Linked DNA regions of Macaca mulatta. The protein of the gene in region 1 purifies or fractionates together with the protein of each later gene. This does not show direct contact. Links are inferred from orthologs where the notes say so. Each region holds a gene or a part of one and is shown in the gene's direction. Other genes may lie near its edges.

The links.
Region 2: the proteins of CD44 (region 1) and FGFR1 purify together in Homo sapiens (affinity purification with mass spectrometry; 3 studies listed by BioGRID and IntAct, counting the BioPlex papers as one, with this or other methods). This does not show direct contact. The link is inferred for Macaca mulatta from reciprocal best matches to the Homo sapiens genes CD44 and FGFR1.
Region 3: the proteins of CD44 (region 1) and ERBB2 purify together in Homo sapiens (affinity purification with western blotting; 3 studies listed by BioGRID and IntAct, with this or other methods). This does not show direct contact. The link is inferred for Macaca mulatta from reciprocal best matches to the Homo sapiens genes CD44 and ERBB2.

Annotation. Positions count from the first base shown.
Region 1 is NC_133419.1:30,082,523-30,092,928, reverse strand, and holds part of CD44 (CD44 antigen), read left to right. Parts: intron 1-584; coding exon 585-713; intron 714-1,905; coding exon 1,906-2,031; intron 2,032-4,858; coding exon 4,859-4,972; intron 4,973-5,441; coding exon 5,442-5,561; intron 5,562-8,245; coding exon 8,246-8,374; intron 8,375-10,086; coding exon 10,087-10,218; intron 10,219-10,406. UniProt on the Homo sapiens protein: Cell-surface receptor that plays a role in cell-cell interactions, cell adhesion and migration, helping them to sense and respond to changes in the tissue microenvironment.
Region 2 is NC_133413.1:40,407,147-40,418,220, reverse strand, and holds the start of FGFR1 (fibroblast growth factor receptor 1 precursor), read left to right. Parts: upstream 1-4,191; 5' UTR 4,192-4,811; exon of another isoform or gene 4,812-5,608; intron 5,609-6,093; exon of another isoform or gene 6,094-6,219; intron 6,220-11,074. UniProt on the Homo sapiens protein: Tyrosine-protein kinase that acts as a cell-surface receptor for fibroblast growth factors and plays an essential role in the regulation of embryonic development, cell proliferation, differentiation and migration.
Region 3 is NC_133421.1:64,078,151-64,088,144, forward strand, and holds the end of ERBB2 (receptor tyrosine-protein kinase erbB-2), read left to right. Parts: intron 1-220; coding exon 221-319; intron 320-1,182; coding exon 1,183-1,368; intron 1,369-1,514; coding exon 1,515-1,670; intron 1,671-1,785; coding exon 1,786-1,861; intron 1,862-2,137; coding exon 2,138-2,284; coding exon of another isoform or gene 2,285-2,327; intron 2,328-2,929; coding exon of another isoform or gene 2,930-2,997; coding exon 2,998-3,095; exon of another isoform or gene 3,096-3,125; intron 3,126-3,235; exon of another isoform or gene 3,236-3,267; coding exon 3,268-3,456; intron 3,457-3,742; coding exon 3,743-3,995; intron 3,996-4,136; coding exon 4,137-4,492; 3' UTR 4,493-5,016; downstream 5,017-9,994. Other genes in the region: MIEN1 (migration and invasion enhancer 1), read right to left, coding at 5,999-6,204, 6,622-6,719, 6,833-6,921. UniProt on the Homo sapiens protein: Protein tyrosine kinase that is part of several cell surface receptor complexes, but that apparently needs a coreceptor for ligand binding. Essential component of a neuregulin-receptor complex, although neuregulins do not interact with it alone.

The DNA of each region.
Region 1 (10,406 bases):
AACACTTCTAATAATTTAATCTCTTACACAACTTTCCTGCCAAGTGATCTTCCTGACTATGGGAAACATAATACTTTATGAAGAAGTTCATTGTTGGATAGTTCAGATTATTGCTTTTTTCAATCCAACATTTGGAAGAATATTCATCTCCCTGAAATTTTCACCACAGATCCTAATTTGGCCTCCTGGATCCAGAGACAAAAAATTTAATCCCTCTTTTACATTATATAGACTTTCAAAATTTGAAGATGGCTCTCATGTGTTCCTGGAGCCCTCACTCTTGCTAATTAGGCTTCTGATTTCAGATAGGTCAGAAGCTCTGTCCAGCACAATTTTTAAATCTTTAAGATAAGGAGCATGAACCAGATGACATTTAAGATCCTTCCCTCTCTGACATTCTATAAACTTCAGTTTGAGCCTCTGAAAAAAAATGGAACTTTTTTGCTTTTTCCCATTCTTTTCACTATCTATATCAAATATAGATGATTCTCTTGAATAGTAAAACAGTACAAGCATATTCAATGCTATTTCTTAGGAACTGTTAATTAATCTTTCAACAATCAATTCAATCATGATTACAACAGCTTTGATGAGCACTAGTGCTACAGCAACTGAGACAGCAACCAAGAGGCAAGAAACCCAGGATTGGTTTTCATGGTTGTTTCTACCATCAGAGTCCAAGAATCATCTTCACACAACAACACAAATGGCTGGTAATGAGTTATTATTGTCTCATAGCATATGTTTTCTTGACAGCGTTGAATAATTTTGATTGACCTCTGGGATGTTATTAAAGCCTAAAGTTCCTTCTATTCTCACAAATGTTCATTATGACTTTAGAAGGATCATGAACTCTGGTATCTGTTTGTTTGCTTGTATGGCACCAATAAGCAGATTTCTTCTTTCTAATATATGGATTAGTATAGCCCAGGAGAAGGTTAATATAGAGACTATAAAACGGGAATAAGCTTTTTTTAATGACGTAGCAAAATTGTGACTCTGAAAGATTATTCATGTATATTCTAAAATTACCACAGTCATAAAAAGTCTTGGACTTTCATGAGGAAATAGCATAGCTAGATCTGAAAAAATATAGAAAATCTTCATCAATGGAACTATTCTTGGGGTAGACACTAATCATACGAAAAGGCAAATGCTCATTCCCTAAGATAGCCTGAATCTCATTTAAAATGTAGAAAACCCCGTTTTAGTAAAAAGACATTGTCTACAGTAACCACTGAGAAGAAGATGAAGTTTTTCATCTCCTTTTTTTATTCAAAAAGAAAAAGAATTTCTCAATATCTCAACCACAGTTCACTTTAGTTAACCCCTTTGATTGCCTAATAATGCCAAAAATGATTTCTCTGTTAATTGGCTCCACATTTTTGCTCTATGCTGAAGTAGTGTTGGGAACTGCAGTGTAGCTTCCATCTCTGAAGACAAAAAATGAATTAGCAAATTGTGAACACAATGAAATGACTGACACAGGTGTAGATTCCAAATTTTTCTGAAGGAGTCTTGACCAAAAAAATAAATAAATAAATAAATAAAGGCACGTATGAAACCTTTCCATTCTGTTCTTGACGGCTTGGCTTTAATGGCATATGCTTAATGAGTTAATAATAAACACATCTGAAAGCGTGGGGGAGTTTTCATTGGCCTTTGAAGACCTATTTTAGCTTTCTTAAGGAGAATATTCAGTTTTAAAGATCACAGTCACTTGTTTTGAGATTTATGTATTAGCTTCGGAGACCAGAACATAAGAATTTGGGGTATGCAAGTCAACTCCCTCACTTTCTTTTAAAAATTCGGGAAATCCATTATACCTTCTGTGCCTGATTTTCTTCCTTTGCAAGTGGGTTGCCTGGCATCCAGCTCAGCCACTAATGCAAGTCACCACAACAGGTACGTCTTCAAATACCATCTCAGCAGGCTGGGAGCCAAATGAAGAAAATGAAGATGAAAGAGACAGACACCTCAGTTTTTCTGGATCAGGCATTGATGATGATGAAGATTTTATCTCCAGCACCAGTAAGAATAATCAATTACAGTACAGCCATTTATGCAAGGCTTATTGATTAATCTGAGTGATACCTAATTGTATCTCTCTTGAGAAGTAGTTAATGTGAAAAATAGGTGAACCTGTGATCATACCTTAGTTATATCTTGATGAGATTATGGAAGAAGAAATAGAATGTTTTGAGAAGTGGGGAAAATATCTCATAAAATTTCTAATGTCTCAGGTTCTTCCTGTTTTATTTATCAATGAAGTCTACTGCTACAGATTGTCTTTGAATGATCAGGCTTTGTCAGAGGATGACATTAAAACAGTCCAAAAAATATTCATTGTGTACTTACTGTGCTAGGTGCTGGAAACACAAAGATGAAAAAAGCCAGAGCCTTTGCCTTTCAGAATCTCATGGTCTGTTGGAGCAATAGACTTGAAGAATGTGATTAGGAGGGTATTAATTAAAATTTGTAGGCCAGGCGCGGTGGCTCACGCCTGTAATACCAAAACTCTGGGAGGCCGAGGCGGGCAGATCATGAGGTCAGGAAATCGAGACCATCCTGGCTAACACAGTGAAACCCCGTCTCTACTAAGAAATACAAAAAATTAGCCCGGCGTAGTGGCAGGCGCCTGTAGTCCCAGCTACTTGGGAGGCTGAGGCAGGAGAATGGCGTGAATCAGGAAGGAGATAGCGCCACTGCATTCCAGCACTCTAGCCTGGGCAACAGAGCGAGACTCCATCTCAAAAAAAAAAAAAAAAAAAAAGTTGTAGAAGATCCTAAATTGAAGGCCCTTAAGGCTTAAATGATGGGAGCTGGAACTCAAGAATTATCTTAATCAAAACCCGACTAAGGTCAAAGGAACAAATCCAGAGTTTTAACAAATGAGCTGGACACCAAAGACCTTGAAGGGAAGGGCAAATGTCAGGTTAGCTTTAACAAGACATTACCACTTATTAAAAGCAAATAATGAAACCACTATTGGTACATAATAGTATCCAAATTTTTGACAATTATAAAACTTTTTGAGAACAAAGAGATGGAAATTGAGCTTTAAAGATGTCCTTAAAAAGTTAAAAACATGCAAAGGTTGGTCTAATAGTCTGCCAGATTACTGAGTTTTCCACACATACCTGTAATGACTTAAGATTTTGCTGAATAGAGCTGAGAATCCTGAACCTGACTCCATCACAGTTTTGCTTTTCCTTAGAAAAAAGGCTTTTGGGGTGCTATGTGAGCTCCCCCAATTCACTGAAGTTCTATCCATTCCATTAAAACCTGACAATTTAATCCTCAAACGGATAGCACACAGAGAAGAAAGGGTCCAGAAAAAAAAAAATAGCTTAGGCCTTGAAGGCATCTGAATATATAACATTGATATAACAAATACTCAAAAGGAACTAGAATTTTCTATCTAAACTTTTAAGTGATTTTTTTAGACCCAGCACCCCTCCAGAGCTTAATCTATGGAATAAGAAAATTATTTTTGGTAACTTCAGAACAAAAACCAAATAATCAAAAACACTGGAGTTTTACATTACACTGTCTCCTGTGTTCAGGATGTGGCCCAGCTTTGCAGGTAGGTCCATTAGTAAAGACGTGGTCTTGATATTGAAGAAATTAAATTCCCTTGGGGAGTAACCCAAAGATATCTACCTGCAAATGAATTGTATGGTCAGGCTTCAGGGAAAAACTTCCCATGGTGTTTTTTTGTTGTTGTTGTTGTTGTTGTTGTTTTTAATTTTTAAAATCTCTATGGCATATTTTCCAATTTCAGTTTACTTTTCTGCTTAGCACCTATGGACATAATTCAACATGATGCCCTCTTTCTTCTGGAGGGGTGCGATAACTGCTTGATAATAAGCACCTTTTCATGCTTGTTGAGAATGTGGTTAATGATTCTAAACTCGATTTTCATAACTTGTAAAATAGAGCTGACAGTATTATAGTTCTGAAAACAGTTTTGTGTTATTTGGGTTTCAAAATAAAATTTGAAACAATTAGGATGGATTTGCAAATAACCTTTCCACAAAACACATTGATTCAGATTTTGTCATGATCTTTCTGTTAGGTGCATCTCCCATTCCAGCCCTAACAGATTGGGTGACGATATCAGGGTGCTGGTGGATGTATGCCTCTTTCTTTCCATTGTGCTTCTGTGATGGTGGCTGGTTACCTGTGGTGTCTTATTTTCTTTCATTGGCTATGAATGGCTTGCTCGTGACATATTTTGTATTTGATGAGAATACCATAGTGTTTGATAAATATTCAGAAATGGACAGCTAAAACATATGGCTATTCTAGGTAGGTAATATTTTTCGGAATCATCTATAGGAAAGCTCTGGCTGCTCAGACATTTCTTTCCCCACTGAAATTACTAACAACATAAAGTGATTATCATGGTATAACTTTCAGTTATCTGCCTCTTCACCCTGAGGATCTACAAATAGCACACAGTGACTAAGTCCCTGGGCTTTCAAGTGCAGAGGGATACTACAGACTGCATGGATGGGCAAAATGGTGCCTTTGGTTATCCTCGGTGAAGGGCTGGTGTTTTCAAAGCTGTCCTTCCTACTGCTGCAGCTTCTTTGACTGTTTTATCTGGAAGATCTCATGTTCTGAACCCTAAGGTATTCTATGACAGAATGCAAAGGACACTGAGATGCTTACCAATATGGCTGAATTAAGCTGAAGGCATCCTCCGCTTTCCCTCCATTTCCATGCCGCCATCTATACAACCTGGTATAGATGATTCATTGCATAGTCTACAGAAACAAGACTATATGCGAGACAAGTGGCGAAGGCTCAAGAAATAACATTTTTCTAATTGCTTCAATCATCGTTATCACAGTTTCAACCACACCACGGGTTTTTGACCACACAAAACAGAACAAGGACTGGACCCAGTGGAACCCAAGCCATTCAAATCCGGAAGTGCTACTTCAGACAACCGCAAGGATAACTGGTAATGGGTTATGCATATTTAATGAAAGGTTTTTTTTCCCCTCAAAGCCTATGATGCTGCAAAGGTCAATCATCGGGACACAGTGGGAAATTTAGCTAGTATCTCATCAAGAAATTCTTAGTGGACTTTCATGAGGATACTTAATTCCATTTAGGAGTCATTTATCAATTATACCATGTGGGTATATTTTTATGTTGCTTCATTATAAAAATGAATATGTTTGAAGGATTTATGGTGCTGCCTTTGACAAACTGATCATAGTGGAATAATAAGGGAACATGAAGAAATTCCAAGCCCATTGATTTTCTCTTGAGACCAATTAGGTAAAGTCACTCAAAATTTTTGAGAGTGGATGCTCAGAGATAATACTTTGGCATAGAATTGTTAAATAGCATGCACTTTAATGGAAGAACAGAATCATTAAAGCTTGATTGATAACAAGTCACAGTGTATTTAACCATCATCACAGCAGATGTAGACAGAAATGGCACCACTGCTCATGAAGGAAACTGGCACCCGGAAGCACATCCTCCCCTCATTCACCATGAGCATCATGAGGAAGAAGAGACCCCACATTCTACAAGCACAAGTAAGCAAGATGGCGGTCGGCAGTTCTGGGTTAGATGAGTTAGTGAAGACATTCCAGCAATAGGGAAGATTTTGTTTAGAAATTGGCCACATCTTCTATTTCCACTTAGTAATTTATTTTATTCTCAGAGCCTGAAAATCTGCCAAACTTGCACACAAATTTTAAAAATTGGAAGGAAAATGATAACACTTCAGGTTGCCCAAAGACCAAAATGTTTTAAGAAGTAGATCTAGATACAATTTTTGTGTTAAAAGTTCCTAGAGGTTCCATTTGGGTAACTTGTGTGTGTTTATGGAAATGTGTGGCAAAGTGTGTTCTTTTGGTGCTTAGTAGTGAAATCTGGAAAGAAAGCTTGTCAAGTGAATTGATCTTTGGAATCCTTATTTTCTATGAAGATCTTTGATGAATATAGTTTCTTTTTTGCATTCTGTCCTTGACTGTTCTATAGTCCCTTGTACTCTTTAGAACAAAGTTGGTAGCTCGTATGGTCTGCATTTGAATTCTATCACTGCTTCTTTTTCTGTTTTTAAGCCCAAGGTAACTTGGGGAAGGCTTTGATGCTCTTACTGTTATTTCTACTATTATGAAAACTTGTCAGTTTTTCTAAAACAATCTCAAGTTGCAGCACTGGACTGTGAGAATAGGGGACCCCCTCACTCCCCAAACATAAGAAGTAAGTGCTTTTCTTCTTTTATCTGTCCCACTGAGATATGTCTATCTTATTTGGAATAAGAGTATTTATTTTGGAAAACAGCTTTTTAGCATTTTTAAAATGATGATTTGACTGTCATTCTCACAGCCCTAAATACACCTAATGCGGAAATGTGAGCTATAGCCACTTAAAAACCAAAGGGCTTTGGGAATCTATAGCTTGAGGTGTGTCTTCAGACAACAAAAGAAAAGTTTCAGGTACCAGCTAGGATAGAGGTTAGACGTTGTACTAAATATATCCAGCAGACCTTACATTCCATTACAAACCCCAGTAGATCTGATGTATGCATAAGGCTTACGGACTAAGTTAACAAAGAAGTCTAGGAAAAGAAAATACAGAGGAAGCATAAATCTCTTTGGAATAGGATTTTGTTCCAGTCCCTTAGAGCCCTAACTGTATATCTTAGAAATTGTTTTAGACAGTTTGCACTTAAAGACCAGAAAGCTACTTTAGAGACTTGGAAATAATGAGCCTATTGTCAAAAGGTGGTGCTTGGGGTGCATTAGGACTAGAGGGTAGGTGAAAATTCAGACAGAATGTAACTTGACAAAGAGAAGACAGTGAAAACTGTAACAATTCTCTTATGAATATTTGCGAAACTCAAAGGGATCTGATTGGTGACCTCTGGTCTTTATCAAATTAACATCACAACTTCTAGAAGAAAGTCAACCTTCATCTTTTACAATAGAAATCATATGTTTTGTGAACTCATTCCTATTTAGGCTGAAAACAATAAAGAGTTATGGGTACTTTAAAAACTCATTAAAGTAGTGATAGAAGGAGTATAGAGTCCTTCTATGCAGTCACACACATACACTTCCTTATTTCTTTTATTTAAACTTTGAGTAACATGGCAGTCTATGTTTGGGTCAATATTCCTTTTTATGTAATTACATTCAGTGGTTTTTCTAACTTCATTATTGGTTGGGAATTAGTGATTTAGTCAGTGGTAGGTAAAACTTAAGATTCTGGCTTTTTTCCCCTCCCCCTGGATAGCCAGTTAACCCAATAATGGCTTGGCCAATGTAAGGGTAAAATGAGGACTGTTCTATTTTTTAAATGTCATTGCCGTCACCAAATCACACATATCATTTTCTAAGATAATGAAATACAACCATTTTACAAGTTACAAAAAAAATACTCTGGCTTGGCAAGTTAATAGGCTCTCATTTTCTTGATAAAACAAAATTGCTTTAAGTTGCTATAGTTAAAAATGTTGGTGGCTTTCTGACTTTTCCTGAAGGCACCTTGATGGAATTTTATTCTGTTGATTTTGTCCTTTTTAAAATAATGGTTGAAATTTTAAGCCTGTCACACACTATTATTTATATAATGCCTCAAACTGGCTTGGATAGTTTTTGTCAACTGAATTAATTTTGTTAAAAAGTGATTTTAGCAATTTTAGGCGCCATATGAACATTGCCACATAATGTGTTAGTGAAATAGCATTCAAGCCATCCCAACACCTTTCCTGCTGGGCAAATCCACTGCTGGTGCATTTCCAGTGTGTGCAATTATGGGTTACATGACCACCATTTGAGACGGTCTCCTAATGCGCTGATCTTGTCAGTTGTTATACAGTATTTTCCTTTCATCAGAATGACTGGAGCGAAGAGGTTATTCTTTGAATGGTTTTCTAAGACAGGGTATGTGACGCCATACACTACAGTAAAATAAAAATAATGATAACTCATAGAACTCTGAGAATTCATCAGCTATGGTCTGCTTAGTCCTATGGTTTTGAACAAATCAAAACCTCTTTGGACCACAATGTTCCCATCTGAAAAATTAAATGTTTGGATCATTTTATTTCTAATATCCCTTTCAGAATATCAGTGGCCTGTTTCCTTGCTGCTTTTCTTTTCTACCTTCTGTTCCCATGTGTATCTGCCCTTAAAGTAGAAAGATACGTTGACAGCTATTGGCAAGGAAAATAGAAAATTATGTCTCCCAACTGATATTCTTCTCACAGTCCAGGCAATTCCTAGTAGTACAACTGAAGAAACAGCTACCCAGAAGGAACAGTGGTTTGGCAACAGATGGCATGAGGGGTATCTCCAAACACCCAGAGAAGACTCCCATTCGACAACAGGGACAGCTGGTAATGGGTGGTTTAACAAGTAAATTTGGATGGCAACTTCCTTTTGGGTTAAATGGTAGACATTGAGGACACTGAACAAAAGGACATTGGAGGAATTGTCACAAGATGTTAGGTTACTTAATAAATTATGCTGCAGTTAACACAGAGCCAAACCTTAAAGGCTCATAACAAGTCACCTGAACAGGAATGGATACAAGCCAGTTACGAATAAGAACAGGAAACACAGAGAACATGCCCTTGAACATGTCTCTTTCACACCGAGTTCTGGGCATTATCTAGTGAGATTGTAGCGGAGGCCCTGATAAAATATCCCCTTTTGTCGTACAAAGGAATCTACTCTAGAATATGGGTCCAGACTTTACAATGTGATTCTGCAAAGTCTGACTTGTGAGAAAGCATTTTGCTAGAACTCCAGTGTTTGAAGAAATAGAGCCAGACATTATGTGAAAAATGACACCTGTCTGATGTCATTTGGCCTTTTGGCCATGCCTGTTTGGTAATTTGTCCTTGAGTATAAACAAGCCATCTTCTCTATTCTTGAACTGTGAGATTGTGGAAATTGGAATCAAGTCTTATCATCATCTCTAAGTGATACCAGATGACTTGGCTCTGCAAGCTCCCATGCAGGATATTTTGTCTGTGTGACATAAGTATTGAAATGTGTCCTGCCTTATCAAGAATGTGAATTCCATATTCTCACTTGGTATCAGTGAGAAATATTCCCATATTTCTATTTGCAATATAGAAGATAATACGTCATGTACTTCTGGGGCATGGCAAGTTCTGAATGAATTCCTGGCAGAGCAATGGATTCTGTGACTGTCTATGTGGTGTGGTTGTTGCTAAGAGGATGCTGTTGCAATCTTTTCTACCTATACTTCCTCATTGGCTCAGAATGAAGCAAGGCATGTGCTGCTTTCTTATATGTCATTTATGCATATTCTCACTTGGTATCAGTGAGAAATATTCCCATATTTCTATTTACAATATAGAAGATAATGCGTCATGTACTTCTGGGGCATGGCAAGGTCTGAATGAATTCCTGGCAGAGCAATGGATTCTGTGACTGTCTATGTGGTGTGGTTGTTGCTAAGAGGATGCTGTTGCAATCTTTTCTACCTATACTTCTTCATTGGCTCAGAATGAAGCAAGGCATGTGCTGCTTTCTTATATGTCATTTATGCCATAAATCCCGTTGTCAGGTAATGCTTCTAACGGATTCCATTCATGCTTTTGAGATAAATGGCACTGACTTTCATATTGATCACATGGAAAGCTGTTACCTGATTCCTTTCCTGAGATCACTTCCAGCCTAATGTGCATTCAGCTGGAATATGGTTGTCTCAGAATAACATAATGCACTTGGGCTTTTACACTTCTGCCATTAGGGTACGGTGGCAGCATGGCACAGGTCAAGAACTACTCCTTCATCTTCCTATGATGTCTGTAACTCACCCTCTCTGCACTGCAGGAGTCGTTAATGCTTTTGTGTCCTCCAGTTCACATGCTGATTGCTAAGAAGAAAATGAGCATGAGTGAACCCAAACCTGCTGAAACATTTTGCGTTTATGCAACTTCCTTGCCCTCTATACAAGGAAGATGGTTTCATTGTCTTGTCTAGAGAATAAAGTCTTTTTAAACAATAAAATCAGTGTATTCCTGACCAAGCGTCCATTAACACTTTGACAATTGCTCCAACTGCATGGTCTCAGCAGCCTCAGCTCTTACCAGCCATCCAATGCAAGGAAGGACAACACCAAGCCCAGAGGACAGTTCCTGGACTGATTTCTTTGACTCAATCTCACATCCCATGGGACGAGGTCATCAAGCAGGAAGAAGGATGGGTAATAGCCTCTGAGATTTTTATATATTCTGTTTTTTGAAATCCACTGACTGCTGACTATTTTTCTAGAAATATGCCCTAGGTTTAGACCAAACTACTTTCCTGAAGGACTTGAGATTCTTCAAAAATTAGTTTTCTTGGTAGGAGTGATACACATATTCACCTGAATATGAAATTCCGAGCTGAAAG
Region 2 (11,074 bases), on another chromosome or scaffold:
AAAATAACTGAACCCAGACAGAGCAGGGGAGCCCTGGGGCAGAAGGAATGTGGGGAGAGGGGAAGAGGAGCTCCCTTCTACCAGGGAAAACTCTGAGGACACAAGTAGCTGGAGGAACAGGGAAGGGATTTCCTACAGTGTTCCCAAACAAAGAGAGCTGGCGGGGCTTTGGGGAGAGCTCCGTTTCCCTTCGTTTCATTCAGCAGTGGTCTCCTCCTCCCACAGATGTGGGAGGCAACAGGCCCCCAACTGGTTATCAGGCCCTCCAGCGTGAGGGCCTTTGTCTCCCCTTAGACATCTAGCTGGCAGGGCGAAGGGCCGACAAATCCTCCCTGACCCTCCCAGCTCTTTGTTATCTCAGAGGGAAGATTACATTTCTGTATGGGGAGGCAAGGTGCCAGGAGGCCTCGGGCAGGACAGAGACAGGCAGAGCTGCTGTCTGACCCCCATTGCCTGGATCAGCTCAGGGCTGCCCTAGGGACACTCCCTCCACTGGCCTGGGGCCCTTCCAGAAATGGGAGGGCTGCGTTTCAGAAAGGGGGAGGGGTACAGGAGTGGGACAGAAGGGGAGGTGGGCTGGAAGGATAAAAGCAGCCAACTCTCAATTATTCAGAAGCATGTCTGCAGTGCGTGGACAGCCCATGCCTTCGCTGAGTTTCTCACCTTCTCTGTTCAGCTGCCATCAGCTCTTTCCCTGAGAAGTGGAGAAGGGAACCCTGGCAAGTTGGCCACTTGCTTTCATTTTGGCTTCTTGATGAATCTATAGAGGATTTTTCAGCAGCAGACCCATGTCCCTCAACACCAAACAAGCATTTAGATCATTCTCTTTCTGTTTAAATCAAGAACACATTCTTTAGCCTTTTCTTCGAGGTTCAAGATACTCCTACAATGGTTCTAAACCATAAGAAAAAGGGGCTTGATTTAAAACCCCTTGTTCTGGGCCAGGCTCATGCCTGTAATCCAAGCACTTTGGGAGGCCAAGGTGGGCAGATTACCTGAGGTCAGGAGTTTGAGACCAACCTGGCCAACATGGTGAAACCCTGTCTCTACTAAAAATACAAAAATCAGCTGGGCATGGTGGCAGGCGTCTGTAGTCCCAGCTACTCGGGAGGCTGAGGCAGGAGAGTTGCTTGAGCCCAGGAGGCGGAGGTGAGCCGAGTGAGCTGAGATCATGCCATTGTACTCCAGCCTGGATGAAAAGAGCAAGACTCCATCTCAGAAACAAAAACAAAAACCTTGTTTGAGAAGAATTACGGAGAGGAAGGGCGATACACACTCCTTTAGGAACGAAGTAGAAAAATAGTAGCTGGGTGTTAACATTAAATGCTGGATTTTTTTCATGGCTTGTTTTCCCAATCATATTTCCTCAAATTGTATTTCCTCCTCTGGTAAGCCAGGTGGGTTATGCTTAGCAAGTCCATCAACCACAAATATACATGGAAAACCTCCTGAGTGGAATTGGTCAGACGCCTTAGATGAGATCCTTGCCCTAAAGCAGTTTAGAAGCCAGTTAGAAAGCAGAGTAAGGAAAACTATTAACAAAGCTATGGTTAGTATCAACTCAGTGGATAGTCAGAAAGTGAGCAGGGGATCCAGCAACTGACAAAGCTGGGATGGGCAGGGAAGGCCTCTTGGGGGTAGGGTGTGAGTTTGGCCTTACAAGCCTGTGATGAGTATTAATTAAAATGCAGGAGGCCTAATGGGTGGGCAGCTTATTTAGGAGTATAAACCAAACCTGACCAGGAGCTGAAGGGTTAAATGGTGGCTTGTAGGGGAAAACTCTATAAACAGTGGCTGAAGTTCATTTATTCAACAAAGATATGAGTTCTTGTTTCTCTTTTTTTTTTTTTGAGACGGAGTCTCGCTCTGCCGCCCAGGCTGGAGTGCAGTGGCCGGATCTCAGCTCACTGCAAGCTCCGACTCCCGGGTTCACGCCATTCTCCTGCCTCAGCCTCCTGAGTAGCTGGGACTACAGGCGCCCGCCACCGCGCCCGGCTAGTTTTTTGTATTTTTTAGTAGAGACGGGGTTTCACCGTGTTAGCCAGGATGGTCTCGATCTCCTGACCTCGTGATCCGCCCATCTCGGCCTCCCAAAGTGCTGGGATTACAGGCTTGAGCCACCGCGCCCGGCTCTCATTTTTTGTTTTATATTATTTTGTTTTGAGACAGGGTCTTACTCTGTCACCCAGGCTGGAGTGTAGTGGCTGATTATAGCTCACTGCAGCCTCAAACTCCTAGGCTCAAGCCATCCTCCTTCTTCAGCCTCCACCTCCAGCTAATTTTTAAAAATATTTTGTAGAGACAAGGGCTCACTTTGTTTCCCAGTCTGGTCTTGAACTTCTGGCTTCAAGTGATCCTCCTGCTTTGGCCACCCCAGGTGCTGGGATTACAGGCGGGAGCTGTAATTTAGTTGTTTATTTATTCATTTGTTCAACAAATACTTATTGAATATTTGCTCTTTGGCCAGTCAAGGAATTTTATGAGTGTCTACTATGTGAATAACACCGTGTTGGCCACTAGTCTGTCACCTACTGGTGGATTAGAAAAATAACGCGAGGACCGTTTTCTTTTTTCTTTTTTTTGAGACAGAGTCTTCTCTGTTGCCAGGCTGGGGTACAGTGGCACGATCTCGGCTCACTGCAACCTCCGCCTCCCGGGTTCAAGCGATTCCCCTGCCTCAGCCTCCCCAGTAGCTGGGATTACAGGCGAGCGCCACCATGCCTGGCTAATTTCTTTGTATTTTAGTAGAGGCGGGGTTTCACCTTGTTGGCAAGGATAGTCTTGATCTCCTGACCTCGTGATCCACCTGCCTCAGCTTCCCAAAGTGCTGCAATTACAGGTGTGAGCCACCGCCCCCCTCCCCCAACTCTTTTCTTAAATTAGCCAGGGAGGCGTGGGTGGGGTGGGTGAGGAGTTGGGTGGGGGTAACTCATTCAGTATTCAAACTTCTACAAGTTTTGGGGATGAGGTGAACAGGCCCTGCCACTAACTTACATAGTGACTTCTATTTGTGTAGTATTTTTGGTCCACGGAGAGCTATCATTTTATTTGATTCTTACGATCATCTTGTGAAGGAGTATCAACAGATACTGCTGTTTTGATTTTATCAGATACAAGATTTGTCGTACATCAAACTTCACAAATGATGGACAGAATGGAGGAATCCTTCAGACCTAGTGCTGCCTACTTCCCACCCCAACGGTGGCCTCAGCCTGGGCTTTCACATCACAGGCCCCACGGAGACTTGGAAAAAATACAGGCTTTTGGCTCCTTCTTGGGACAGCCTGATTCCTCATGTCTGAGCAGGCCCATGAATTTGTATTTTTCAGACGTTCCCTGGAGGACCCGTGTCCATCTGGATTAGGAAACCACTACATTATACCACCCCGCGGCAAGACTCAGGGGGAAGAATTTAGCCACTTTCCTGAGTTCCACAGTACTGGAGGGTGTTCTGAGTGGGCTGTGATTAATTTCCAAACCAACCACACCTCTCCCCTCAACTCCCACTTACTCTTTGCTTCCTAGACGTTCACTTCAGGCTGGAGACTTCTGAAGACCAACAACATTGCTGTAGAATTTACAGGGTCCAGTTCCCGGTGGAGCACAAAACCTAAATTATGTGGCTGGGGAAAGCGGAGATCCAATGGAAGGGTGTGAGGAGGGGCTGACCTTCTCATAATAAAACCAGCTTGTATTTACTAGGTGTTAACTATGCGCCAGGCCCTCGTTGACCTCTCGACTCTATACGAAAAAGCACTATTATCCCCCTTTCACAGATGGGAAAACCGAGATTTAGAACGCGAAAATCATTCCCCAAGGTGCACAGACTCCAAAGTCCACGCTACCAGGTACAATCTCAAGGCTGCGGCGTCTCTTCACCTGTCCCCCACACCCCCCCAAACTGCAGCTATGTCTAGGGCCTGACATTCCGGCGCCCTCTGGGACGCGCTCAGATGCAGGGGCGCAAGCGCCAAAGGAGACCAGGCTGCAGGAAGAGAAGGGCAGAGCGCCGGACAGCTCGGCCCGCTCGGCCGGCTCCCCCTCCTCTGGGGCCGCGGCTGGAGAACTACAAGGCCCAGCAGGCAGCGGCAGGGGGCGGAGGCGGAGGAGGGACCAGCGCCGGTGGGAGTGAGAGGGCGAGCCCTCGCGCCTCGCCGGCGCACAGCGCTCGGAGCGCTCCTTCGGCCACAGGCGCGGCGTCCTCGGCGGCGGGCGGCAGTGAGCGGGAGCCGGGACGCTGGTGCAGCCGTAGCGCGCGGAGGAACCCGGGCTGTGCCGGCAGCAGGGCCACGTCCGGACGGGACCGAGACTCCGCGTAGCGCATTGCGGCGACCTCGCCTTCCCCGGCCGCGAGCGCGCAGCTGCTCGAAAAGCCGCGGAACCCGAGGACTTTCTCCCGTCCGAGCTCGGGGCGCCCCACAGGGCGCACGGTACCCGTGCTGCAGTCGGGCACGCCGCGGCGCCGGGGCCTCCGCGGAACGATGGAGCCCGGTCTGCAAGGAGCGTGAGACGCCGCCGCCGCGGTCTGGAAAAGAGGGGCACAAGGTCTGGAGACCCCGGGCGGCGGACGGGAGCCCTCCCCCCGCCCCGCCTCCGGGGCATCAGCTCCGGCTCCATTGTTCCCGCCCGGGCTGGAGGCGCCGAGCACCGAGCGCCGCCGGGAGTCGAGCGCCGGCCGCGGAGCTCTCGCGACCCCGCCAGGACCCGAAAAGAGCCCGGGGGCGGCGGGCCGGAGCCGGGGACGCGGGCACACGCCCGCTCGCGCAAGCCACGGCGGACTTTCCCGAGGCGGAACCTCCACGCCGAGCGAGGTAAGAGTCGCGGCGCCCCCGGATCCGGGGCTGGCTTGGCGTCCCGAGCGGCCCCCGGCGCCGGAGCCTCCCGGCTGCGCGCTTTGCCCGCCGCAGCCCAGCCGGGACCGGCGCCTCCCTCCGCTCGCCGCCCGCCCCCTCCACCTCCCGGCTCCCTCCCGGGCGATCCGCGCCCCCCTTGGGTCTCTCCTCCCTTCCCTCCGCCCGCGTCTCCTTCTGCGCCCCCTCCCTACGCTCGTCCCGCCGCTCTTCCCGCTGCCCAACTTTTCCGCCAACTCGCGCTCGGGAGCTGGCGAGGCGGCGGCGGCTCCTCGGTGAGTCCTGGGAAGGACAGGCCCGGGGCGAAAGCGGCGAGGCCCGCGGTTTCCTGGACTGGGGAGGAGGGCGGGAGTGGGCGGCGAGGTGGGGTGCGTTGTGTGTGTGTTGTGTGTGTGTTGCATTCCACTCCATCTCTTTTTGGTCCCCTTTTGGGGATTCACCCCCAATTCAGCAGGTAGCTTTGGGCTCAACGCTAAAAATCCAGGACATTCCTCAGTCCTTTTCCATCCCCGCTAAACCTGGGGTCCGGGTTGTGGGCGAATGGAGTAGGGGATGAACTGCAGAGGACGTGGAGGGCTAGGTTAGCTTCTCTTGGAATAGGCTTTAAGGAGGTGTCGTCACCAAATGGCTGAATCTGCTTGAGCTGAGAGCGAAAAACGACTCCGCTTTCCAGAAGGGGTGATCTTATGACTTGGACGGTCTCTGAGAGGGTCGGAAGTTTGGGGAACGGGAGGACGACCCACAGTCGTTAAGCCGAGGTATGGGACGGGGGCGGGAGGGCCGTTCCGTCCCAATCTCGTTCCTGGAGGTGGGGGAAGGGATGAGGTTTTTGTCCGGTGCGGTTCACTCGGCAGCGATGCGTAGGCTTCTCTGGCCCAGACCCCTCTGCACCCCGCTTCCCCTCCCGTTATGTTTAGGGTTGGGAGAAAAGGGAGGCTACGACCCATGTTTGCAGAGGAATTTGTGGACCTTGTAGATGGGGTTCATATAGAACACACGCCCCCTATGAAGCAGCCAGACACTTTTTTGGTGGTGGTGGGGCGGGGGGTGTGAAGCGTGTTTCTTGTTCTGGTCCCAGAAGCTATCAACCCGTTTGAAAAACATTACCACGATGTCTTTCTCCCCCAGCCCTCCCCCACCCCCATTTTCCAGATGTAACAGCCGCATCTGGTTCCGTTTCACCCCACACGGGTACACCGCAGCCGCGTTATTAACTTCCCTCTTCCTCCCCTCCCCCTCCCCCAAATTGAAACTCGGATTCTTCAACTCGTCTTGACCACCTCCCTCCTTAACATTTCTGGAGACATGGAGATGCGGCGTTGAGAAAAGAAAGTTCCCTTGGATCCCGAGTTATCGAAGATCTCACTAAGTTAGTTGTTCGCCGCCGCTAGTGGGTGGCGGCGGTCGGGGTGCTTTCTGGATTGCGCAGAAAAGAGGCATCTTGGGAGATGGGTCCAAGGTTTTAGGGGGTGGCATTCGCGAACGGTTCATCCGCTAGACTAGGGGAGGCTCTTTGGCTGTGCGTCTGGCCAGAACTGGCCTTGACGATGGAAGTTTCTGGAACCAAAGCGTTGCTTTCTCTCCCTTGTGTTATAGCTGGAGCTGCGAGAGCGCCTGCCCTGCCCGGAGCCCGCGGTCCCCTCTCGGCCGCCCCTCGGTGGCGTCACGCGCCCCTCCCGGAGCGAGCCCGGTGCGCTGGGCCGGGGGCGTGGGCGACTGCTGCCAGAGGCGCTCCCTGTGTGTTTTTAAGGACTGATTTGGGACGCATCCCCCGGAAACTAAAGTGGGGCGTTTTACCATTTAAGTAACGGCTACAGGTTTGAAAGCGGGGGGTTGGATTGTCCAGTTGTGTTTGGTAATAGTCTTTGAGGCAGGAAAGCGCCTTGTGGTCCAAAGTTGCGGGAGGGTGGAGAGAGTCAGTCTCTCTCACCCTCTTCTTTCCAGCCTCTCTCAGATTGAAAACACTTCTCTGGTTTCCTTCTTTGGGCGGTAGTTTTGGAGGCTGTAATGAAATCGCACTTTCTCTAGACGTGGTAATTAAGGTGACTGTTTCCTCCGCAGATGTGCCCTACCCTTTGCACCTCCGGACCAGGGCTTTTTTTGGAATACTATCTAGCCTTGAGACTGTTTAGCAGAAAGTGGCCATTTTCCTCCCTTGGCCCGGGCTCCCGGTTTCCTCCCTGAGGCTTGTTTAAAAGCGAAGTAGCAGGGCCCCGTGGGACGCGCCTTGGTCTGGTTAATCACCCCCATCCCCGGGTCATCCACCTTCCTCTCAGTGACCGAGGTTCAGCAGCCTCTGCTATTGCCGTCCCGTCTGTGCCCAGGGCCTGCCTCCCTAATGACTTGTTTACATATCCTACCCCCAGTGGGTTAGGAGAAGCTCCGGGGCTGCCCCGACCCTCCGAGTGCAGGGTGTTTGGGGACCGGGAGGCTGCTGGGGCCTGACTCCAGCTGGGAGGGTTATGAACTGCATCAGTGACGAGCTCCTTGAAATATCTGTTGCATTTACTCTTAGTCATAGCTGAGTGTCAGCTTTTTAATGAGGTTCATCCAGATTGAGAGCCACTTGGACTTCACTGCTTGCTTTTCCAAACATGCCTGCAGAAATGCTCATTTTCCAGGTATTTTTCCCAGTACAGATTCGGGCCAGAGTGGGCACCGCTTGAACAATCTTAGGGTGCTTCTTTTCCTTGACCTCTGGCCATGGAGGATGTTAGAAAGTTCCATTAGGTGGCCCTTTGATAGCCAGGGAAGCAAAGGCTCAGGAAGAAATGGCGAAGTGTCCCCCACTCCCTAGGGGCAGAGGATTAGATACGTCGGGTGCATCCCTCAGGCTGGGCTAGCTTTATTCCTGGTGGACTCCAGAGGGCAAGAAAATTGAATTGAACACTGGGTAGGCAGACTCAAGCCTTAGAGACCAAGGAAAATCCATGGGTTTTTCTTTTAGTGGTGTGCTCTTTGTTTTCAGTATTGACCTGAAACAAGACTCCTAAAATGGGAGATTTGCTGGTGTGAACTTGGGGGTTTAGCAGCGGGCTTCTCCAAAGTTTTTTTTCTTGCCTCCGTTTCTAAAGTGTCTTTTGTCAAAATGGCTGTTAGTTACAGAACGTCCTAGCAAAGTTTGAGCCTGTTGTTGCTGGAGGAAAAGGCATTAGAATTGATTCAAATGTCTTATTCTGAAAGGGCCTCACATCACTTGATGAATTTAATTTCCTCCTGGGAAATTTGTGTCTTGCATTTGTCTTCCCCAGAGCTTTGTAAAAGGCCTGAAAGCACCAGGGACTGGTAGGAGTCCAGATGCAGAGCTTTAGAGAAGATTCTGGTGTTCCCAGAGAGGATGAAATGTCAGACTTGGGCTAGGATATTTGTTTTTCCCCCTAAGGTTGCATCTACTTTAAACAGAAATTGCCTCCTCACCACCATTTCTCTCTCCCCTGCAATGAAAGAAACCATGTTTAGGGCCCTCTCTCCCATTTAATAGCACTCACCTGGGTGAACTATCCCAAGAATTTGGTGGGGTTCCACTCATAGTACATCCTGTCTTCAAGAGCAAGGTTTTCTAGATTATGTGCAGCAGTTGTGTTCGCCAGGCTGGTCTTGAACTCCTGACCTCAAGCGATCTGCTGGCTTCGGCCTCCCAAAATGCTGGGATTACAGGTGTGAGCCACCGTGCCTGGCCACTTATTGCTAATTTTTTATATGTCTTTTACTTCCAAGGACAGGTAGACTTTTTTTTTTTTTTAACAGAGACACAAAAAATAAGCATTTCTCTTGGACCAACTAAAATTTTGCAAGCTGAGCTAAGTAACTTTCTCCATGTTTATTAAGTACTTGCCCCCTGCCCTCTCAACATGTGAGTAGAGAATGCTCACTTTGGGGAAGAAATAAGTCTTACTCCCATCTGAAGGGAATAATGTTTTGGTATTACTTCCTTAATTCTGAAGAACCAAGTTGTCCAGAAATTTTCTCGGTACCCTTTGGACTACAGTTTGGCTGGTTAACAAGGGATACTAGCTAATTGCTTTTCTCTGATATTCTGAGCCTCTTTTTCTGGAGGAGTATCTGTATCAGTTGCTTTTCATCAGCTCTTTTTTTTCCTTCATTCACTTACTCATCCAGTTAACGAACATGTTGGCATCTCCTGTGTACATACTAGGTGCAGAGAGTGTTAGCAAAGGTTAGGGAGGCACAGACCCTGCTCTGAAGGAGCCTGCAGTTTCATGGGGAGAGAAGAGAATGAAGAACATAAATAATAATCATATCATGTGGCCTAAGCACCATGTGAGAGGGGCTAGTAATGTGGTTTGCGAATTTGGAGGAATAAAATCCTCCAGCTAGAAGAGGCCCAAGAAAGTCTTATGGAAGAGACAGCTTCTTAAGGTGGGGTTCAGAGAAAAGGGAAGGCCTGGCCTGTTGCAGAACAAGGAAGGGCAAAGAAGAAAGTCTTGCACAGAGGCATGGAGGTTGCTTCGAGCTGTGGTGCCCTATAGAAATAGAACATGAGGCCGTGCACGGTGGCTCATGCCTGTAATCCCAGCACTGTGGGAGGCCGAGGCAGGCGGATCACGAGGTCAGGAGATCGTAATCATCCTGGCTAACATGGTGAAACCCCGTCTCTACTAAAAATGCAAAAAATTAGCTGGGCATGGCGGCGGGCGCCTGTAGTCCCAGCTACTTGGGAGGCTGAGGCAGGAGAATGGCGTGAACCCGGGAGGTGGAGCTTGCAGTGAGCGGAGATCGCGCCACCGGGCTCCAGTCTGGGCGACTGAGCGAGACTCCGTCTCAAAAAAAAAAAAAAAAAGAAATAGAACATGAGCAGCTGGGCGAAGTGGCTCATGCCTGTAATCCCAGTACTTTGGGAGGCCAAGGCAGGCGGATTGGTTGAGCCCATGAGATGAAGATGAGCCTGGGCAACATGGTGAGACCCTGTCTCTACCAAAAAATACACAAATTAGATGAGTGTGCTCATGTTGTCTGGTAGTCCCAGCTGTTCAGGAGGCTGAGGTGGGAGGATCACTCGAGCCTAGGAGGCAGAGGCTGCAATAAGCTGTGATTGCACCACTGCACTCCCACCCGGGGGACAGAGGAAGACCCTGTTTAAAAAAAAAAAAAACAGCCAGGCACAGTGGCTCATGCCTGTAATCCCAGCCCTTTGGGAGGCCAAGGCGGGTGGATCACCTGAGGTCAGGAGTTCAAGACCAGCATGGCCAACATGGTGAAACTCTGTCTCAAAAATAAAAAAATTAGCCGGGCTTGGTGGCTCATGTCTGTAATCCCAGCTACTTGGGAGGAAGAAGAATTGTTTGAACCCGGGAGGCAGAGGTTCAGCCGAGATTGCGCCACGCAACCCCAGCCTGAGTGACAGAGCAAGACTCCATCTCAAGGAAAACAAGAAAGGAAGAAAGAAATATAACATTATAACATGAGCTATGTGTACTTTCAGATTTTCTAGAAGCCACATTGGAAATTTAAGTTAAAAGAAAGAAACAGGTAATTTTTTTTTTTTTTTTTTTTTTTTGAGACAGAGTCTTGCTCTGTTGCCAGGCTGGAGTACAGTGGCGCAATCTCTGCTCATTGCAACCTCTGCCTCCCGGGTTCAGCGATTCTCCTGCCTCAGCCTCCCGAGTAGCTGGGACTACAGGCGCGTGCCACCACGCCCAGCTAATTTTTGTATTTTGAGTAGAGATGGGGTTTCACCATGTTGACCGGGATGGTGTCAACCTCTTGACCTCGTGATTCGCCCACCACAGCCTTCCAAAGTGCTGGGATTACAGGCGTGAGCCACCACACCTGGCCAAAATTTGTTTTTTAATTAACTTGTTTAGATTTTAATAATTTATTTAATATAACTATATTTCCAAAATATTATCATTTGGACATGTAATCAAATATAGAAATTATTGATGAGATACTTTACATTTTTTTCATAATAAGTTTTTAAGATGCGGTGTATACTTTTTACTTCTAGCATATCTGTTAGCACCAGCCACATTTCAAGTGTGCAGTGGCCACCGTGTGGGCCACAGATCTAGAATATAAGACATGAAGATGGAGAGTGAGAAATGCCTTTGGAAAGGTTGGAAGTTCCTGTCCTCCTGCTGCCAATTACCAGATCTCCTGAGAGTGCTGTCAAGGAGTGACTCAAAGCACTACACAATGAGAATTATAAATATCTTAATATTATATGTGAAATACAAATACATAATACTTTACATTCGATTGGT
Region 3 (9,994 bases), on another chromosome or scaffold:
AGGTGGGGGCGGTGCCTGGAGGGGTGTGGTCGGCAGTTCCGATGGGAGGGGCAAGAGCCGGAGGCAGTATTTGGGGGAGGGCAGTTACAGCGGAGCAGAAGGGAACCGGAGCAAGCCCCAGGGTGGGGAAGGATGTTTGGAGCACAAGTAATGATCTCCTGGAAGGCAGGTAGGATCCAGCCCACGCTCTTCTCACTCATATCCTCTTCTTTCTGCCCAGGGCATCTGGATCCCTGATGGGGAGAATGTGAAAATTCCAGTGGCCATCAAAGTGTTGAGGGAAAACACATCCCCCAAAGCCAACAAAGAAATCTTAGATGTAAGCCCCTCTACCCTCTTCTGCTGACAGGAAGGACCCCATGGCTGCAGGTCTGGGCTCTGGTCTCTTCATTGGGGTTTGGGGAGATATGACTCCCGCAAACCTAGACTATTTTTTTGGAGACGGAGCCTTGCTCTGTCACCCAGGCTGGAGTGCAGTGGCGTGATCTCAGCTCACTGCAACCTCCACCTCCTGGGCTCAAGCGATTTTCATGCCTTAGGCTCCTGAGTAGCTGGAATTACAAGCACCTGCCTGGTTTTTTTTTGTTTTTTTTTTTTTTGAGATAGAGTCTCGCTCTGTCACCCAGGCTGGAGTGAAATGGCGTGGTCTTGGCTCGGCCTCCCAGGTTAAAGCGATTCTCCTCCTTCAGTCTCCTGAGTAACTGAGATTATAGGTGTGAGCCATCACGCCCGGCTAATTTTTGTATTTTTAGTAGAGATGGGGTTTCACCATGTTGGCCAAGCTGGTCTCAAACTCCTGACCTCGTGATCCGCCTGCCTCGGCCTCCCAAAGTGCTGGGATTACAGGCGTGAGCCACCGTGCCCGGCCTAATTTTTGTATTTTTAGTAGAGACGGGGTTTCACCATGTTGGCCAGGCTGGTACTTTGGGCATTCACAGGCCGTGAGCCGCGGCTGTGGTTTGTGATGGTCGGGAGGCTGTGTGGTGGTTGCGAGGCTGTGTGGTGTTTGGGGGTGTGTGGTGTTTGGGGGTGTGTGGTGGTTGGGAGGCTGTGTGATGGTTGGGAGGCTGTGTGGTGTTTGGGGGTGTGTGGTGGTTGGGAGGCTGTGTGATGGTTGGGAGGCTGTGTGGTGTTTGGGGGTGTGAGGTCTCCCATACCCTCTCAGTGTACCCTTGTCCCCAGGAAGCATACGTGATGGCTGGTGTGGGCTCCCCATATGTCTCCCGCCTCCTGGGCATCTGCCTGACATCCACGGTGCAGCTGGTGACACAGCTTATGCCCTATGGCTGCCTCTTAGACCATGTCCGAGAAAACCGCGGACGCCTGGGCTCCCAGGACCTGCTGAACTGGTGTATGCAGATTGCCAAGGTATGCACTTAGGGCACCTGGGCTCTTTGCGGGTCCCTTTGGAGCAAGCCCCTATGTCCACAAGGGGCTAGGATGGGGACTCTTCCTGGGCATATGACCAGGGCCAGGCCCTCCCAGAAGGTTTACCTGGGTGCTTCCCATTCCAGGGGATGAGCTACCTGGAGGATGTGCGGCTCGTACACAGGGACTTGGCTGCTCGGAACGTGCTGGTCAAGAGTCCCAACCATGTCAAAATTACAGACTTTGGGCTGGCTCGGCTGCTGGACATTGACGAGACAGAGTACCATGCAGATGGGGGCAAGGTTAGGTGAAGGAGCAGAGGAAGTCGGGTGGAGTGGGGTCTGGCCCCTGGGAGAACTCTGAGTGGCCACCTCCCCACCACACACAGTTGGAGGACTTCCTCTTCTGCCCTCCCAGGTGCCCATCAAGTGGATGGCGCTGGAGTCCATTCTCCGACGGCGGTTCACCCACCAGAGTGATGTGTGGAGTTATGGTGTGTGGTGGGGAGTGTTGGGAGGGGTGGGTGAGGAGTCATGGCTGGAGGGAGGATGAGAGCTGGGATGGGGAGAATTATGGGGCCACCTCAGCATGTGGAGGGAGGGAAGGGGCTGCCTGTGCCCCACCTTGCAGGGTCTGTGCACTTCCCAGGATTAGGGAAAGACTGGGTAGATTCTGTCTCCTGGCATCACATCTCCCCCCTGCTGCCATGATGCCAGACTCCTGGGCAGAACCTCTGGCCCTCCCACTCCTGACCCTGTCTCTGCCTTAGGTGTGACTGTGTGGGAGCTGATGACTTTTGGGGCCAAACCTTACGATGGGATCCCAGCCCGGGAGATCCCTGACCTGCTGGAAAAGGGGGAGCGGCTGCCCCAGCCCCCCATCTGCACCATTGATGTCTACATGATCATGGTCAAATGTGCGTGGCTGAGCTGTGCGGGCTGCCTGGAGGAGGGTGGGAGGTCCTGGGTCGAGAAGCCCACAAAGGGCATGAAAGGGGACCAGGATGTATGTAGACCCAGGAACCCTGGTATATTAGGAGCCTCAAAACCTTCTCATATCCCTTTTACAGTCAAAGTCCAAAGCCACTCTTGAGGAACAACTAGAGAACCTTATGTACAATATTAAGCTGGGCACAGTGGCTCATGCCTGTAATCCCAGTACTTTGGGAGGCTGAGGTGGGAAGATCCCTTGAAGCCAGGAGTTCAAGACCAGACTGGGCAACACAGTGAGACCCTATCTCTACAAAAAATAAAAAAATTCGCTGGGTGTGGTGGTGTGTGCCTGTAGTCCCAGCTACTCGGGAGAGGCTGAGGCAGGAAGATCACTTGAGCCCAGCTGAAGGTGGCAGTAAGCTATGATTGCACCACTGAAATCCAGCCTGGGCGACAGAGTGAAACCTCATCTCAAAAAAACAAAAAAGCAAACAAAAAGAAAAAAAAATTAAAAGGGAAACTAGTAGAGATGCCCGAAGGTTCTGGCTGAAGCCCCCAGAGTCTGGTACTACTTCTCTACCACCAAGGGCTTTGGGCTGTCCCTTGGGACTGTCTAGACCAGACTGCAGCGGGAGTGGGAGGGGAGGCAGCAGGCACACAGGGCCGGGGCTAGATGCTGGCCTCCCTCCTGCCCCAGGTTGGATGATTGACTCTGAATGTCGGCCGAGATTCCGGGAGTTGGTGTCGGAATTCTCCCGCATGGCCAGGGACCCCCAGCGCTTTGTGGTCATCCAGGTACTGGGCCTCTGTGCCCCATCCCTGCCTGTGGCTAAGAGCACCCTCCTGCAGAGGGTGGGAAGGAGAGATGAGTCCGGTGTGTCAGGCCCCTCACCTGCTATGAGCCTTCATGGAAGGCTGCATGCTGAGCTGGGGAGGGGCCACCATCCCACCTCTCCTTCCTCCGCAGAATGAGGACTTGGGCCCAGCCAGTCCCTTGGACAGCACCTTCTACCGCTCACTGCTGGAGGACGATGACATGGGGGACCTGGTGGATGCTGAGGAGTATCTGGTACCCCAGCAGGGCTTCTTCTGTCCAGACCCTGCCCCGGGCACTGGGGGCATGGTCCACCACAGGCACCGCAGCTCATCTACCAGGGTCAGTGCCTTCGGTCACACTGTGTGGCTGCTTACCTCCTCCATCCCTGGTGGACTAGGGTCCCTTTCTCTGATGTTCCCTCAACTGTCACCTCTCAAGGAGACCCCATTATCCCTACAAAAAATTCTTACTGCCTTCCAACCTCTGTGACCCCATTCTCTCCACGGTGATTGTGTCGTACCCCAAAGGTGACCTGTTTTTCTCCTGTGACCCTGTCACTTCCCATGGAGTCCCCATCCCAGATCCATTAAGTGACTCCCATCATGACTTACTTTCTTGTCCCCAGAGTGGCGGTGGGGACCTGACGCTAGGGCTGGAGCCCTCTGAAGAGGAGGCCCCCAGGTCTCCACGGGCACCCTCCGAAGGGACTGGCTCTGATGTATTTGATGGTGACCTAGGAATGGGGGCAGCCAAGGGGCTGCAAAGCCTCCCCGCACATGACCCCAGCCCTCTACAGCGGTACAGTGAGGACCCCACGGTACCCCTGCCCTCTGAGACTGACGGCTACGTTGCCCCCCTGACCTGCAGTCCCCAGCCCGGTATGGAGTCCAGTCTAAGCGGAGAGACTGATGGGCGGGGTAGGGGGGACCCTCAGCCCAGGGTCCACTGTGGGGGCAGAGGGAGTGGCAGCGACACCGGGGTTCCTTCCCCTAATAGGTCATCTTCTCTTGGCCTTTCAGAATATGTGAACCAGCCAGATGTTCGGCCACAGCCCCCTTCGCCCCAAGAGGGCCCTCTGTCTCCTGCCCGACCTACTGGTGCCACTCTGGAAAGGCCCAAGACTCTCTCCCCAGGGAAGAATGGGGTTGTCAAAGACGTTTTTGCCTTTGGGGGTGCTGTGGAGAACCCCGAGTACTTGGCACCCCGGGGAGGAGCTGCCCCTCAGCCCCACCTTCCTCCTGCCTTCAGCCCAGCCTTCGACAACCTCTATTACTGGGACCAGGACCCATCAGAGCGGGGGGCTCCACCTAGCACCTTCAAAGGGACACCTACGGCAGAGAACCCAGAGTACCTGGGTCTGGACATGCCAGTGTGAACCAGAAGGCCAAGTCCGCAGAAGCCCCGATGTGTCCTCAGGGAGCAGGGAAGGCCTGACTTCCACTGGCATCAAGAGGCGGGCGGGCCCTCCGACCACTTCCAGAGGAATCTGCCATGCCCGGAACCTGTCCTAAGGAAACTTCCTGCTTGAGTTCCCAGATGGCTGGAAGGGGTCCAGCCTAGTTGGAAGAGGAACAGCACTGGGGAGTCTTGGTGGATTCTGGGGCCCTGCCCAATGAGACTCTAGGGTCCAGTGGATGCCACAGCCCAGCCTGGCCCTTTCCTTCCAGATCCTGCATACTGAAAGCCTTAGGGAAGCTGGCCTGAGAGGGGAAGTGGCCCTAAGGGAGTGTCTAAGAACAAGAGCGACCCATTCAGAGATTGTCCCTGAGACCTAGTACTACCCCCCATGAGGAAGGAGCAGCAATGGTGTCAGTATCCAGGCCTTGTACAGAGTGCTTTTCTGTTTAGTTTTTACTTTGTTTTGTTTTTTAAAGATGAAATAAAGACCCAGGGGGAGAATGGGTGTTGTATGGGGAGGCAGATGTGGGGGGTCCTTCTCCACACCCACTTTCTCCATTTGCAAATATATTTTGGAGAACAGTTAGGCACCGGCCTATGTCTGGGGGTAGCTCTGCACCATCCCTTCCTGCTCACCTTACACTCAACTCCTCTTTTCCTGGAGGGAGTGACCAGGAATCTTCAGAAAGCTTGGATGAGGAGCCTGACATCCAGTTCTCTAGCTTCAGGGTTGGGGGGGATCGGGAAGCTGGATTCGGATCTGAGAGCCCTTTAACAACCAGATCATTCTTTCTTAGAACGAATTCCTAAGGCCACTCACCAGAATGGGGTTATTTCCTCCTTGTGAGTCAGGAGAGTGGCGGTTGAGTGGGCGAAAGACGAGGCAGGGTCTACTGTGGGACTCATTTTCCTTGCCTTGGCTATGCCAGAGGAGCTCACTGACCTAAGGAGTAGCTGTCCAGAAAGCCCACCCAAGCCAGCACAGCCACCCTGGCGGTACAAAGGCTGGGCCGGCCGGACTTCTGTGCCCCCCGCATTCCCAGATTGGACATATAAAAACACACACTAGTTAGCATTAGTGTTTGTAGTGCCACTTTACTGCCAATGGCTGACATTGCCCTGGGTTGGGGAAAATAAATAAAATCTACTGTGGCATCAGACAGGTATTACCGAGGTGAAGAGTGGACCAGGCTTTTGTGGGCACTTATCCTGGGAAGGGGGTATAAGGTGGCTGAGGAAGTGTCCGTGGAGAGTGTCTCTCTCCTGCCCCCAAGGCCATGGAATCTTATTCCTTCCTCGTACCCAAAAGGGCAAAGTGGAGGCCAGGGTCTCTTTGCTAAGGAGCTAAGTAAGGGAAAGAGGCAGGGGGAGCTCCCAGCAGGACCAAAGGGAGACCAAGGCTTGGACCCCAGAACAGAGCAGGAACCCAGAATCCTGTGCAGTCACAGGATGATGCAGGGAGGACGGCTGTTGGTGATCTTTTCTAGGGGTTCTCCTTTACTGGCTCTTCGGATGGCCTCAATGAGCTAGAGGACAGAGATGTGGAATGACAGGATGATGCACTGTTGGGGTAGGATGACCCAGAGGTCCTCCCAACACTGCAAATACTCACATCTTTCTCATAGGGAAAGCCCCCATTCTCCAGCTTGGAGAACACCAGCTGTCCATTTATCTCTATCTCAAAGGCACCTGGTAAGAAATCAACAGATAAATAAATGGTACACTGAGAACATAGGCAGAAATCAGGAGTTCCTTCAAAGGGGTCCCCCACCACTCCCACTGGAGACCCATTTGTAGCTCCTTAAGCCATTCCCCAACCCTGGGTCAACTCCAGGGAACCTGAGGGAGGCCCCGCCTGTGTGCCCCTGGCAACAATGAAAGACTCCCTCCCCTCCAACCCTACACGATTGCAGTCTAATAGGTTTTTCCCCCGCAGGCCTCTGTGAACCCCCTGACATATGGAAGGGAACTCATGTTGGCTGGACATTTTACCATGTGTCAGGCACTGCAGGCACTTTACATAAAGCAGCCAATGTCAGAACTAGAAAGCGGGAGAGCTGGGATTTAGAGTACAGACTGACTCAGCAGGTGTTCCATGAGCCTCACCTGTGCCCCCCAAGCGCGACTCGATCTCGATGCCCGGATACTGCTCCTTCACAGCACTGGCCAGCTCCAGGTAGGTCGCCTCGAAGCCGCAGGGTTCACTGGGGAGAAGAAATGGGGCTGGGCTGGGGACTCGGGGGTGGGGCCTCCCGTGGACCCACCTCCGTCCGGCCCACGGGACCAGGGTAGGGGTCCTCCAGCCGGGACCGCTCACCAGTACTCCACCATGATGCGGACCCCACTCCCCGGCTCCACCTCCTCGGGAGGGGGCGCTACGGACGTCTGCCCCGGCTCCCCGCTCATAGCTGCCTGCTCCGCTCGGGCCCCTGCTTCCGGGTGTGACGCGCTCAGCGGGCACGTGACGGGGCGGGGCCTCTGGAGCGTGGCGGGGCCGAGCGTGGCGTTGGGGCGGGGCCGAGCGTGGCGTCCGGGCGCCCCCTGTAGGCCTCCGCCATTGCTACGTTTTGACCTCGTACGGCAGCTCCGGAGCTCGCGCCCCGGGCAGAGTCTGGGAGAACCGGTACAGACCCTCCTTCCCCGGCCCGGTCTCCCGGAATGCCGGGCTTCCCCACTCCCGATGTCCGCCGGACTTCACGGCTTCATTTACTCTAATGGACTATCTTAGACTGCAGAGCGCTTTTCAGTTTACAAAAGAAAGAGAAAGCGGTGGGGCAACCATCCTGGAGATGGGAGTGGGTGTGGCTGATGTATGAAATAGTTGACATTTTCTCGCTCACATGCTGATGGCATTTGTTGTTTTTTTTCACTCTTGTTGCCCAGGCTGGAGTGCAATGGCGCGATCTCGGCTCACTGCAACCTCCGCCTCCGGGGTTCAAACGATTCTTCTGCCTCAGCCTCCCAAGTAGTTGGGACTACAGGCGCGTGCCACCGCACCCGGCTAATTTTGTGTTCTTAGTAGAGACAGGGTTTCACCATGTTAGTCAGGCTGGTCTCGAACTCTTGACCTCAGGTGATCCACCCTCCTCGGCCTGCTAAAGTGCTGGAATTACAGACATGAGTCACCGCGCCCGGCCCAGTTTTTTGTTCGTTTGTTTGTTTTAGGAGAGACAGGGTTTCACCATGTTGGCCAGGCTGGTCTCGAACTCCTGACCTCAAATGATCTGCCCGCCTTGGCCTCCCAAAGTGCTGGGATTACAGGCGTGAGGCACCACGCCCTGCGCTGATGCCATTTGGAACCGCCCTATAGTTACATACCCAAGTGTTTCTGATCCCAAAGCTCTAAACTGCTTTTTCCAGTCTTTTGTAACTGCCTCTTGCCTGCACTGGAGAACCGTAGACACTCTTCAGGCTGTGTGCCCCCAACAGTTCCTGCACATCCCCTTCTTATCCAGCCTCTCACTGGGGGACTGGTGTCATTATTCCCATTTTGCAACTCTGGAAATGGAGGCTGCTCAGGTCCTTGCTGCCTTTTCCCTGCCTGCAGTAGCGCTATGGTATCCTAGCACGCCACCCACTCTAGTGTCCCTTTAGGCTATTTTTCTTTTTCTTTTTCTTTTTTTTTTTTTTTTGAGAGGGAGTCCTGCTCTGTCACCCAAACTTGAGTGCAATGGTGCCATCTCGGCTCACTGCAACCTCTGCCTCCTGGGTTCAAGCGATTCTCCTGCCTCAGCCTCCCTAGTAGCTGAGATTACAGGTGCTAGCCACCACACCCAGCTAAGTTTTGTATTTTTTTTTTTTGAATCGGAGTCTTTCTCTGTTGCCCAGGTTGGAGTGCAATGGCGCGATCTCAGCTCACTGCAACCTCTACCTCCCGGCCTAAGTGAGTCTCCTGTCTCAGCCTCCTGAGCAGCTGGGATTACAGGCGCCAGCCACCCCGCTGGCTAATTTTTCTATTTTTAGTGGAGATGGGGTTTCACCATGTTGACCAGGCTGGTCTCGAACTCCTGACCTTGTGATCTGTCCACCTCGGCCTCTGAAAGTGCTGGGATTACCGCTGCACCTGGGCTTTTATATATATATATAAACAGTCAGGGCATGGTGGCTCACACCTGTAATCCCAGCATTTTGGGAGGTCAAGGTGGGCGGATCACTTGAGGCCAGGAGTTCAAGACCAGCCTGGCCAACTCAGCAAAACCCTGTCTCTACTAAAAATACAAAAATTAGCTGGGTGTGCTGGCGCACACCTGTAATCCCAGCTACTCCAGAGGTTGAGGCAGGAGAATCGCTTGAACCTGGGAGGTGGAGGTTTCAGTGAGCTGAGATACCACTGCACTCCAGCCTGGACGACTGGACGACAGAGTGAGACTGTGTTAAAAAAAAAAAAAAAAAAGAAAAGAAAGAAAATGCTGTCATTTGTACAGTTGCCTAACCATCACCACAATCCAGTTACAGAATGTTTCCGTCAACCTGGTAAGTCCTTCCCACCTGTTTCTGGTCAATTCAGCTCCCAATTCCAGTCCTATGCAACCACTGATCTGCTTTCTGTCTCTAACTTTGCCTTTTCTGGATGTTTCATATAAACAGAATAATATGCTATGTGGTCTTTTGCTTACGGCTTCTTTCACTCAGTATGTTTTTTGAGATGCATTCATGCTGTAGCGTCTAGAGTAGTTTGTTCCTTTTCATTGCTGAGTCGTATTCCACGTGTGGTTTTGCCACATTTTGTTTCTTAATTCACCAGTTGATGGATATTTAAGGTTCCAGTGTTTTTTGTCTATTTTGAAGAATGCTGCCACAGATGTTTTGGCGTCTTTGCATAGGTGTGTGTTTTCATTTCTCTTGGGTAGATTCCTAAGAGTAGAACTGCTGGGTCATGTGTTAAGTTTATGATTAACTTTTTTTTTGAAACAGAGTCTCGCTCTGTTGCCCAGGCTGGAATACAGCAGTGCAAACACTGCTCACTGCAGCCTCAACCTGCTGAACTCAAGCTATTCTCTTGCCTCAGCCTCCTGAATAGCTGGGACGACAGACACGCACCAGCATGCCCAGCTAATTTTTTTGTATTTTTTGTAGAGACAAGGTTTTGCCATTTTGCCCAGGCTAGCGTTTAACTTTTTAAGAAACGGCTAGACTGTTTTTCAAAGTTTTCCCACCAGCAATATATGAGGATTCGTCGCTCCATATCCTCACCAATACTTGTTTTCTGTCTCTTTGATTATAACCATCCTAGTGGACATGACATGATATATAATTGTGGTTTTAATTTTCATTTATCTAATGACTGTTGTGTATCTTTCATGTAGTTATTAGTCATTCATATACATATTTGAAGAAATATCTATTCAAGTCTTTTGCCCATTTTTATTAGGATTGTTTGTCTCTTTATTATTGATTTGTAAAAATTCTTTATATATTTTGGATATCAACCAAAATATATACAACCATATATACAACCATATATAGTTGTATATGGTTT